Nothobranchius furzeri: one gene and its partners. The protein of the gene in region 1 binds, or shares a complex with, the protein of each later gene. Links are inferred from orthologs where the notes say so. Each region holds a gene or a part of one and is shown in the gene's direction. Other genes may lie near its edges. The genes, in order: ranbp2, sumo1 and nup93.

What was found.
Region 2: the proteins of ranbp2 (region 1) and sumo1 are in contact, whole or in part, in a crystal structure (PDB 1Z5S), measured with the Homo sapiens proteins. The link is inferred for Nothobranchius furzeri from reciprocal best matches to the Homo sapiens genes RANBP2 and SUMO1. Residues at the interface, in NP_006258.3 of Homo sapiens: Asp2631, Val2632, Leu2633, Ile2634, Val2635, Tyr2636, Glu2637, Leu2638, Pro2654, Thr2656, Cys2659; in NP_001005781.1 of Homo sapiens: Asp30, Ser31, Ser32, Glu33, Ile34, His35, Phe36, Lys37, Val38, Lys39, Thr41, Thr42, His43, Lys46, Leu47, Ser50, Arg54.
Region 3: ranbp2 (region 1) and nup93 share a complex: the UniProt entries of both Homo sapiens proteins name them as parts of the nuclear pore complex. The link is inferred for Nothobranchius furzeri from reciprocal best matches to the Homo sapiens genes RANBP2 and NUP93.

What each region holds. Positions count from the first base shown.
Region 1 is NC_091747.1:23,225,219-23,228,868, forward strand, and holds part of ranbp2 (E3 SUMO-protein ligase RanBP2), read left to right. Parts: intron 1-227; coding exon 228-359; intron 360-508; coding exon 509-736; intron 737-807; coding exon 808-891; intron 892-1,081; coding exon 1,082-1,220; intron 1,221-1,303; coding exon 1,304-1,398; intron 1,399-1,484; coding exon 1,485-3,650. UniProt on the Homo sapiens protein: E3 SUMO-protein ligase which facilitates SUMO1 and SUMO2 conjugation by UBE2I. Involved in transport factor (Ran-GTP, karyopherin)-mediated protein import via the F-G repeat-containing domain which acts as a docking site for substrates.
Region 2 is NC_091743.1:83,214,637-83,218,301, forward strand, and holds the start of sumo1 (small ubiquitin-related modifier 1), read left to right. Parts: upstream 1-790; 5' UTR 791-927; coding exon 928-939; intron 940-1,287; coding exon 1,288-1,362; intron 1,363-3,665. UniProt on the Homo sapiens protein: Ubiquitin-like protein that can be covalently attached to proteins as a monomer or a lysine-linked polymer.
Region 3 is NC_091744.1:86,683,440-86,687,089, forward strand, and holds part of nup93 (nuclear pore complex protein Nup93), read left to right. Parts: intron 1-434; coding exon 435-509; intron 510-1,089; coding exon 1,090-1,182; intron 1,183-1,653; exon of another isoform or gene 1,654-2,421; coding exon 2,422-2,561; exon of another isoform or gene 2,562-2,662; coding exon 2,663-2,795; exon of another isoform or gene 2,796-2,831; intron 2,832-2,976; coding exon 2,977-3,134; intron 3,135-3,223; coding exon 3,224-3,389; intron 3,390-3,530; coding exon 3,531-3,627; intron 3,628-3,650. UniProt on the Homo sapiens protein: Plays a role in the nuclear pore complex (NPC) assembly and/or maintenance. May anchor nucleoporins, but not NUP153 and TPR, to the NPC. During renal development, regulates podocyte migration and proliferation through SMAD4 signaling.

The sequences.
Region 1 (3,650 bases):
ATTTAACGGTGGGCTCAGAGAAGATGCTGAGTCAGGGTGAGATGCAGACGAGGAGACCGTTCGCGGTTTCTGGTGTCGGTGTGGTCGATGTTTATGTTCAGTAGATGTGCCCGGGTGCACCAGACTGCCGGCCAGGCCGGAGCTGCGAGGGCCGAACGACGCTGCTTGCAGCTTTAATTTAGCTTGTTTTGTTTATTTATTTATTTAATTTAATTTTTGCTTTTCAGATCTACCAGCGACTTTCAGAAGAGGCCACCAATGGTGTGGAGGAGACCCAAGACAGATGCATAACTTTTCTGAGAAAGTTCAGGATGTATTTGTTGAAGATCTACAACGGAAATGCAGATGACATTGATAGGGTTAGTCCCAGATTACTTGACTTGTTTTTTTTTTTTTTTTTTTTTTTTTTTTTTTTTTTTTTTTTTTTGTACATTTTTCTCCACAGTTTTTACTTGTTAGCTGAAAATCAGTAGCCTTAGTGTTTTTTTTTTTTTTGTTTGTATTGCAGCTTCCTGTGTCCATGGAGGAGGTGGTGGACCTCCTAAACGATGTAAACCAGCAGCTCGGCGAGACTGTGGAGGACATAGAGGAAGAGGACAAGAAGGAGATGATGTGTCAAAGAGGACCAGTTCACTCCAGCCCTGCTCATCCCACAGAAACCAGTGCAGCCATCTCACACATCAAGTTTTCATCTCCCTCTCCAAACAAAAGCATTCTTTCTCCCTCCAAACGACTGGTGAGTCCAAATCACTCGTTATATGATAAACCACAAATCTGTGCATTTCTATAATTTATTACATTTTGCAGATTTCACCCAAGACACCACCTCATTGGGTTGAGGACCACAAAAGTCTCCTTCAGATGCTGTGTCAGCAAGTCGAAGCCCTCAAGGTCAGAGTTAGAGAGGAGTTGTTTTAGTTATTCAGATCTCACCGTTCTGTGATGTACAGCAGTAACAGGACTTTTGAACCCATTTCAGATGTGCAACTGGGGAGTGGTTTTCCTTTTATGAAGAGGCTTTTAAACCTAAATGAGATCTAAATAACGGTTTTGTTTTAATCACCACGTCTCTGTTTTGCAGAACGAGGTTCATGATCTGAAACACAACGCCTCAGTGAATGCAGGCTCTCCACATAAGGTCTACAGTGATGGCTACAGGGCAGAAGGCCTGAATGAGCCTTTTACTCCTGTACAGTCCTACCACGGAGCGCCCCTGACAGGTCTGTGTTCTACAGAGCTCTAAATGACTTTCGAATGCACATTTCCATCATTTTATTGATCTGTCTTGTTCCTCCTTTTGAAGTTGCCACCTCGGGATCCTCTCTGTATTACAACCAGTCTCCAGCTTATAACTCTCAGTATCTTTTGCGCACAGCAGCAAATGTGACTCCAACCAAGGTAATTATTGTCTCCAATTGTTGGATTACAAAAATATATTTGCACAAGATGTTAAAAGATTATTTTTTTATGTTTTGTTTACCCAGGGCCCAATGTATGGTGTGAACCGTATGCCCCCACAGCAGCATATGTATGCCTACCAGCAGCCCACTCATACACCTCCCCTCCAGACAGCCCCAACGTGCATCTACCCTCCGCAGGAACAAGTATTTGGTGCCCCTCTCCGGTTTGAATCACCAGCCACAAACCTTCTCTCCCCATATGGTGAAGAATACTATAGCCAAGGTGTGACCCATCAATCCACCAATCCTTCTCTACCTGAACCCGGCTACTTCACCAAGCCATCTGTAGTCCCTGTTCAACCACCAAAGAGTGTTGAGGGGAAGCCTGTGGACTTCGGGAAACTTGCCTTCAACCAAAATGCTCCTGCTGAAGTCCCCAGAGTGCCAAACTTTGGTACGGGAGCAGTTGCCCAGTCAGCACCCTCAACTGCTTTCAAATTCAATTCCAACTTTAAATCTAATGATGGAGATTTCACTTTCTCATCTTCTCAAGCCAAGCACAGTGAAAGTTTGCTTGGTCTCCTCACATCGGACATTCCTACGAAAACGGATGCTGATCCAGAAAAGTCTCCAGCCCAGGAGCAGCCCTCCAGCCAAACAGGAATCTTCACCTTTGGAAATAAAAACGTGGCCGGCTTCTCATTTGTTGATCCTACACAGAAAGCTGGAAGTCTTTTTGGGAAAGCGGAGCAGCCATTTAAGTTTATTGAAGTTACCAAGTCAGTTTTTGTTGCTGCCAAGACAACAGAGCTGGAAAAAGCAATAGAGAGCGACAGTGATAGTGCTCATGCTGAAGAAGATGAGGATGGTCCCCATTTTGAGCCAATTGTTCCTTTGCCTGATAAGGTAGATGTAAAAACAGGTGAAGAAGAGGAAGAGGAAATGTTTTGCAACAGGGCGAAATTGTATCGTTTTGACACGGAGACAAAAGAGTGGAAAGAACGAGGCATAGGCAATGTTAAAATCCTAAAACACAGCACAAAAGGAAAGGTCCGCCTCTTGATGAGAAGAGAGCAAGTTCTTAAGATCTGTGCAAACCACTACATCACTGCTGACATGCTGCTGAAACCAAACGCTGGTTCTGACAAATCCTGGGTGTGGAACGCCATCGATTATGCAGATGAAGAGCCGAAACCGGAACAACTGGCCATTCGCTTCAAAACGGTAGATGAGGCAGCCCTCTTCAAAGCTAAGTTTGAGGAAGCTCAGAAAGTTTTACTCAAACCAGCAGAAAAGAAAACTCAGCAGAAGAAAAAAGAGGGAAATTTAAAAGACTCGCTGGCAGCTCGGTTTGCACTTAAAGAAGGGGATTGGGAGTGTCCTGTGTGCTGTGTGAGAAATAAGCCAACAGATGTGCGGTGTTTGGCGTGCCAACATGCCAATCCACAATCATCATCAAAACCAGAAATGCAGCCTTCTGGGGAAACCAAAGGGACTCAATTTACTTTCAAATTTGGTACTGATGCATCAAATCCCAGCAGCTCAGGTTCCACATTCTCTGGATTTGGTGCTTTTGGAGCTTCTATACCATCCTCTTTTACATTTGGCACCAGCTCCTCAAAGTCTGCCAACACAAAAGCCAGTGCATTTACCTTTGGATTTGGGTCACAATGGGACTGTAAGAAGTGCTCCACAAAGAACGAGGCCTCTGTAGAGAGCTGTATTTCTTGTAAGGCTCCTAAAATTGTAGCTCCAACATCTGTGATGGTCCAAACCACACCTGCTGTTGATGCAGATGTGAAAGACTCTGGTTTTGCACAGTTTAGTAAGGAGTCTGGACAATGGGACTGTAACAAGTGTTCTTCAAAGAATGAGGTCTCTGCAGAGTGCTGCGTTTCTTGTAAGGCTCCTAAAACTGCAGCTCTGCACATGCTGTCACATGCCATCACATCTGTGATGGCGCAAACAACACCTGCTGCAGATGCACCTGCTGCACAGCCCTCTGTGGCTGTCTCAGACTCTGGATTTGCACAGTTTAGTAAGAAGTCTGGACAATGGGACTGTGCTGTGTGTGAAGTGCGAAATGAAGCATCAGCTGACAAATGCGCTGCTTGTCAAAGTCCAAACCCTGCTGCAACATCAGCACTTGGGTCTGATTTTGCTAAGAAAAACGGGCAGTGGCATTGCAATGCCTGTCTGGTCAGAAATGAAGCGTCAGCAACCGAATGTGTTTCTTGTCGTACTCCACAT
Region 2 (3,665 bases), on another chromosome or scaffold:
TTATTATTATTATTCTGATCTACTACAGCAATCAATTTCCCTCTGGGATTAATAAAGTATTTTTGAATTGAATTGAATTGATTACATGCTGGTCCAAGTTCATTCAGTAGTGATTAACTTGACCCCTATTAATTCCAATTTAGTTCAGTTATTTGCAGTCAAATCCAGTCATGTTATGATAAAATTTAAATTGTTTCATTAAACACTATGTGTAAATGTGCATTCAACGCATAATTTTACCACTTTATATTCCCAAACAGCAAAATTCTGCTGCAAGAAGAACAATTCGTTTGATTATCTTTGGTGTGTTCTTGCTGTGTTGAAATTCTAATTCCATCTTTTAGTTTTTTTAAACACAGAAAGGTTTTATTTACCTGGGTTTTGCAGCCGCAAACGAAACGTTGCAGGTAAATAAAATCTTTCTGTGTTTTAAAAAGAACTAAAAGATGGAATTAATTTGATCACATTTTAAACACACCGCTCACTTCAGATCAATAACACTAAAACTGTGTCTTGCGATGGGATCAACATATTAACGTGCGCCTCATTGTATGATTTTTCAGATAAATGCAGTAATAATGATTATTAGACTTTTTTATTCATTGCAATTTGTTTGAATTTACATGAGCAAATGATTATAATTACTTTTAGACAATGATTGCTACTTCTGATAGTTTGAACATTTTATCTAAATATTATTTAAAAATATTTGTTGTTCACTGCTTTCATTAGAAGCGCAACAACAGCATAAAAATATAAAAAATACTATTGTTTCTCTAATCTGAAGGGAGTTTTATTGTGAAAAAACGTCTTTTCGTCACTTCCGGCTAATGTCGAATTCCCATAACATCTAACGAGAGCTGCAGCGGAAAGCTGAAGGTACATCTATTGTCAGGAAATTTGAGCCAAAACACAGAAAATAAGAAAATGTCAGACACGGTAAGACCCCAGTGTTTGTGGAAAACAACAAATCTTCTGTCGGAACTGTTCAGAAGACGCACAAATTGATTGTTTTTTTAGGCTCGTTTGGTTATCTAACATGCTACTAGCCAGCTAACGTAGCTTCAGGGACACAAAACACAGCTCTTTTTTGACCTTTTAGATAAAAATTTTGCTGTTATTTTTTAAAATGTCCAACAGAAACTGCGTGTTATTATATTTTATAGTCAAGTCGTTCAAAAAGATGAGCGATTTTGTTAAACAAACCTTCGAAGTGAACACTCAGGCCTGTTTGAACGTGGGTGCGTGTCTGTATTGTGCTGTTTATGTTGTTTGTTTATTTTTAAGGAGACAAAACCATCCAGTCAAGACGGCGGCGATAAGAAGGATGGCGAGTATATAAAGTTAAAAGTGATTGGTCAGGTAGGTTTTAATATCATTACAGCTAGTGAGATGGCTTTAGTCTGGTTATTCCTGCTTATTTACTGATTCACTAACTCTTTTTATATAACGGCCCTCCATGTAACCATTTTTTTAAATGGTTTTAAATTCATTTTGTAATTTAGTTTGAATTTACTGGCTGTAGTTATGTCCAGATTGGTATTAACTGCTGCAATTCTTACTGTTTATGCATTTTCTCAAATTATTTTACATCATTAGACTTTTTGTAAAACAACGCAAATGCTGCTAGAGAAGCATGCAGCTTACCTTAGTCTAGGCCAGGGGTCTGCAACCTTAACCCCCCCCCCCCCCCCCCCAATAAATAACACTTATTTACAACTACAGCTGTTGCAGAATCCTTCTGTAAAAAGTAATTTTATTAGACAAGACAGCATTATTTTTATAGCACATTTCCTCCACAGAGGCAACTCAATGTGCTTTATAATAAAGAGACAATTTCCATCTTTCACTTCTTTTTACAACACAGAAAAGGTTTCATTACCTTCAAAGTTTCGTTTGCGGCTGCAAACATCGTCAGGCTGACGCCGATGGTGGCGTCACTTCCTTCGTTTAGCGGGCAGCAGAAGACATCGTCGCCCTCTGCTGCCCGCTCTCCCCTCTCCGATGATGCAGTCCCATGCGCGAGCCAATGAGTAAACTCCATCGTCTCTGTTCATGGTCCCACATCCTTATCTCGATAGCTTCTTTTATCCATCTTTTGTTTTTCTGTTTGGTGTTTATGATCCTTGTGTTATCCCACATAATGGACTGGGACAACACAAGGATCATAAACACCAAACAACAGAAAAACAAAAGATGGATAAAAGACGCTATAGAGATAAGGAGACATGGATGTGGGTCCATGAACAGAGTTGATGGAGTTTACTCGTTGGATCGCGCATGGGACTGCATCATCGGAGAGGGGAGAGCAGGCAGCAGAGGACGAGGGCGACAACGTCCTCTGCTGCCCGCGGATAAACGAAGGAAGTGACGCCACCATCGGCGTCAGCCTGACGATGTTTGCAGCCGCAAACGAAATGTTGCAGGTAAATAAACCTTTTCTGTGTTTTAAAAAGAACTGAAAGATGGAATCTGAAACTAAACACAGCAAGAACACACCAAAGATAAATAAAGAGACAAAACAAAAACACAAATGAACATTAGGGTTACATAAAAAGAAAACATTGAAGACTAAAGCTGGAAAATTACCATAATATCAATGAAACATTGAGAAGAGAAATAATGTGGTCAGTCAGGAATGACTAAGTAGGTGTAAGGAGACTAAAACTAAGGCAGTAAAAACTGGTACAATGAACTACAAAAAACTTGTTGAATGTCTCTTTTTCTTTTAGAGAATTGGGCCACTGAAAAACCAGTTTTTCCCCTCAGAATTCTGAGAAAAAAAAGAGACAAAACTCTGAGATTAAAATCAGGATTCAGACATTCCCCCTGAGATTATAATCAGAAATATATTTTGTCATATTCTGTAAATATTTTTTGAAGAGATTCTGCTATTAAAGAGCAAGTCACCCCCAAATCAACTTTTTTTTTCTGATAAACTATATAGTGTGTCTAATCACGCTGCAGACACGTGTAGTCAATAGTTTTGTACTTTAGTGCATTTTAGTTCAAATTGTAATTTTCTGCCTAAAACTGTCAGTGTTGTGCCGTTGTCAGGTAAAAACCCTGCACTGCATTAGAATCTAAATCTGCCATCGCTATTGGCTAAGAGGTATGCTATGATGTAAACTGGTCCTTATGATGTCACAATGCCGTTGTGAGCCTGTGTGTGTATTTGTTAGTGGCTCCGCCCTCTCGGTCTGCCAGGCAACAGCATTTGTTGCATTTTTCAAACATGAAGAGGGAGTGAAGTAAGTTTCTTGTAGGGGGTGACTTGCTCTTTAAGTTATAAAATTTAGAAAACAAACGTGTGCGTACACAGTATCACTATTTTTTCTTTGGATGTTGATATTTGTTAAAAATGATGTAAAAAACACAAATAGATGTAAAAATAAGTACTGTTGTGGATATTCAATGCAATTATTCCTTAAAAAACTGAAATGCTGCCTAAACCTGCATTTGTTTTTTTTTTTTAAAGTTAAATAGATTTGGAAAACACATTATTTTATATTATGAGCCAAAGTTCTTTGAGCCATTGTGGAAGATCCAGAAATCCTTTTGGCCTTGTCGTATAGGGTGTGTGATTTTTTTAATGCAACACGTTTCCCTGTATACATCAGACGTCATATGTGTGATTGTAATCCTTCTAAATGCTTGAATTTCAA
Region 3 (3,650 bases), on another chromosome or scaffold:
AGCGTATTTGAACTTTCCGGGCTGAAAAAATCTCTTAGAAAATCATTTCAAATCCGATTTCTTTGACACTCATAACTGTCAACATCTAAGCTGACCAAAATAGCATCCTCATCTAAGAATCGTGGAGGTTATTTTTAACATCGTCCTCTGGTGTAAAGTGGGATTTGTGTGCTATGGGAGCATATCCCAGCATGCAGTGGGTAACACCCATGTGTGCTGGGGTTTTACCCACTGTTTGACCTCATGTGGACACGCAGGTTTCTCAACCCCCAGAATGAAAAAGCATCCATCAGAAATGGTCGGTGCTGCAGACACACTCGAGTTGTGCAGCAGATGGTTGGTGTGTCTGCTGCTCGTGGCTGTGAGGAACGATTATTCTTCTGTGGACTGAAGCGCAGCTGTGAAGTCATCTGTGGCTTTTTGGTGTGTTACAGCCGAGCTTCGTGAGTGAAGTGACAGCTCCAGGGAGGAGTGCACTAGATAGTGTGGAGGTGGCTTATGGACGGCAGGTGAGTCAGCAGCAGTCTGTCTGTCTTCATGTTCACTGAAATTTAAAATGCAGCTTCAGAGGTTTAGTCTGAGAGCTGCAGATTTACGGGTTGTGCTGTTGTGTGCCTTTTGTTAAATTAACATCATTCTAACAACATTTCCTCTTACATTTCTGTCCTGAGGAAGCAGTTTTAGTGTGTGAGGCAGTCGGCTCGGTCATTTGGTTGAAATCAGGGTCAAAGCAAGCCAGGAAGTGACAGATCAAAGATATTGATTCATATGGCTGTAGAGGGGGTGAAACCTCTTCATCGCTCCCTCTCATCGTCCTGTCTGACCTTTTGTTTTTCCCTCCATGCTTTTTCTGGATCTGCTGGATGACACCGTGTGTGTGTTGTGTGTGTGTGTGAGAGAATGTGTCGGCACATTGCGTGCGGTGTCATTTGTCTCATTTTTGTTATCCTCTTTGATGACCTCTTAAATGTTTTGATCCTCTTTCTGCTGTTTTTTGTTGTGAACCACTTGGCTCGATGGCCTTAGGGCCGTCGTTTGGCTGTGAACCTGATGAGAACTTTCAGTCGTTCCTCGCTTTGTCTCATTCAGATCTATTGTTTTAACGAGAAGATTGTAAATGGACACATTCAGCCTAATCTGGGGGATTTGTTAGCTGCAGCGGCAGAAAGTCTGGATGACAAGGTAAGAAACGGGGTTTTTGTCACGATGGGGGCGATTTGTATCCCCATCAAACCTTAGCATCCAGGAACCATTTTCAGAAGTCAGGAAATGTGTGTTTTTGTTTGTGATGTCATTGTTTTCTCACCTTCTTTAACACAAAAATGATTTCCATGGCGTACATGAATTTGTGAACCAGTCGGCATGCTGCAGCATTTTTATATTCAGATTCCTGTCATGAATAAATGGTCTTAACCCCCCCCCCCCCCCCGCTGTCTTTATGGGTGACCCCACCAGGAAAGTCGACCATTGAGCAGGATTGGGTCCACGTGGCAGGGGTGAGGTGGTGCTCACTCCTCACCCCTGCCACGTGGACCCAATCCTGCTCAATGGTCAACTTTCCTGGTGGGGTCACCCATGAAGACAGCGGGAGGGTTAGTTATAACAAGTTTGAGGAGATAAACCATTAATGAAGTGATTAAAGCCACACTGTGCAACTTTTTCATATTTTAATATCATTTTCTTGAGCCAGTATGTGCTAAGATGACCCTATGACCCTTTACAGGGTTAATGAAATGTCACTCAGACCCCACCTCCCTCAGAGTGCGGGTTTGGTCCCTGTTGGACTTGGTGAAGTGGCGCGGGCATGGCAGCGCTGGAGTCTGCTTCCAGCAGGAACAGCAGCAGCTCACGAGGTAGAGCGGCTGTCCAGTAATCAGAAGGTTGCTGGTGGTGGCCAGAGGGACCGGTGGCGTCTGTGTTCGGCAGACCTCGCCTCTGTCAGTGTGCCCCGGGGCAGCTGTGGCTACATCGTGGCTCATCATCACCTGCATGCAAACGGGTGGATGAATGACTGATGGTGTGGTGAAGCGCTTTGGGGGGTTGTAGAACCCTAAAAAGGCGCTACATGAATAAAGATCGTTTAGCATTCCTGCTTGTTTTAGACAACAGCTGGTTTGTTTGAGTTAGTGATCACTCCTCCTGACCTGTAGACACTAATGAAGGCCGAGGAGACGTTTCAGCAGATAGGTTCAGGTGTTAAAAAGACGAACGCACACACAGCAAGGAGAACAGTTTCACTTTTGGTTTTATTAACTGGACACCAGGGGGCGCTAATAGCAAGCCAAAACTTCAGTCTCCCTAACAAACAAACGTTCTCTCCTGCTGTTTGAAGCCCTTTAAATAAATGATGCTCTTAGAGTCTGCTTGAGGCGTCGCAGTTTTAATATTTTTCATGAAGCTGTGTCCCCCTCTGTCCTCCAGAACGTCTCAGAGCTGTGGCTTATGGTGAAGCAGATGACAGATGTGCTTCTGGTTCCAGCCAAAGACACCCTCAAGAGTCGCACTTCAGTTGAGATGCAGATGGCCTTCGTGCGTCAGGCGCTCAGCTTCCTGGAGAACAGGTAGCTGGCTTTGGAACCGTTTCAGCGACCGCTCAAGTTCAAGCGATGCGTTTTCATTCATCTGGAGTTTAGCTGAAATTCAGGTTTTGCTGAACTGGCAGATATAAACACCACACGATGGGAACGGTCTTTGGGAATCTCCACCAGGCCCAACTGGGAGGTGTGCCTGGAACATACCAGCTGGTCCGCAGCTTCCTCAACATCAAGCTGCCGGGGCCCCTTCCTGGCATGCAGGTAAGGCTCCAACTAGCATCATCTCTCACTGGAAATCTGAGTAAAAATAGACAAAACCGTGCAAAATTAACTGTATAACCAATGATGTGCTGTGTTCTTTTCAGGGTTTCGTTTTTGGACTGAATATTTGTTAAGAACATTTCTAAGAAATGATCATTTGTAATAAATGTGTCTGAAACAGGATGGTGAGATAGAGGGCCACCCAGTGTGGGCTGTGGTCTACTACTGCCTGCGCTGTGGAGATCTGAACGCAGCCATGCAGGTGGTGAGCAAAGTGCACCACCAGCTGGGAGACTTTAAGACCTGGTTTCAGGAGTACATGAACAGCCCCGACAAACGGTGAGAACAGTTCAGATTATTTCTCTCTGTCGCTGCGAGCGTTTCCTCGCCATCGCCAGTAAAACCGCAGTTGTGTGTAATCCCTTCAGCCTCTCCCCGACTTCAGAGAACAAGCTTCGTCTTCACTACCGCAGAGCGCTGAGGAACTGTGCCGACCCGTACAAGAGAGCCGTCTACTGCCTCATCGGGAAATGTGACGTCAGTGATAACCATGGAGAGGTGGCAGATAAAACAGAAGACTACCTCTGGCTTAAGGTACGCTTTACTTTTACTCTCAATAGTGTAAAGATCAACCTTGAAACTAAAATCATCTCAGATTGGTTCCTGCTGCAGCTCCGCGCCGCTGTGTGGCTTTTAGTTGAAGCCTTCACTCGTCTCCCTGTGTTCCTTCTGCAGTTGAACCAGGTGTGTTTTGATGATGACGGCAGCAGCAGCTCTCCTCAGGACCGACTCACTCTGGCACAGTTACAGAAGCAGCTGCTGGAAGACTACGGTACGATAACGCCTTTCACTTTC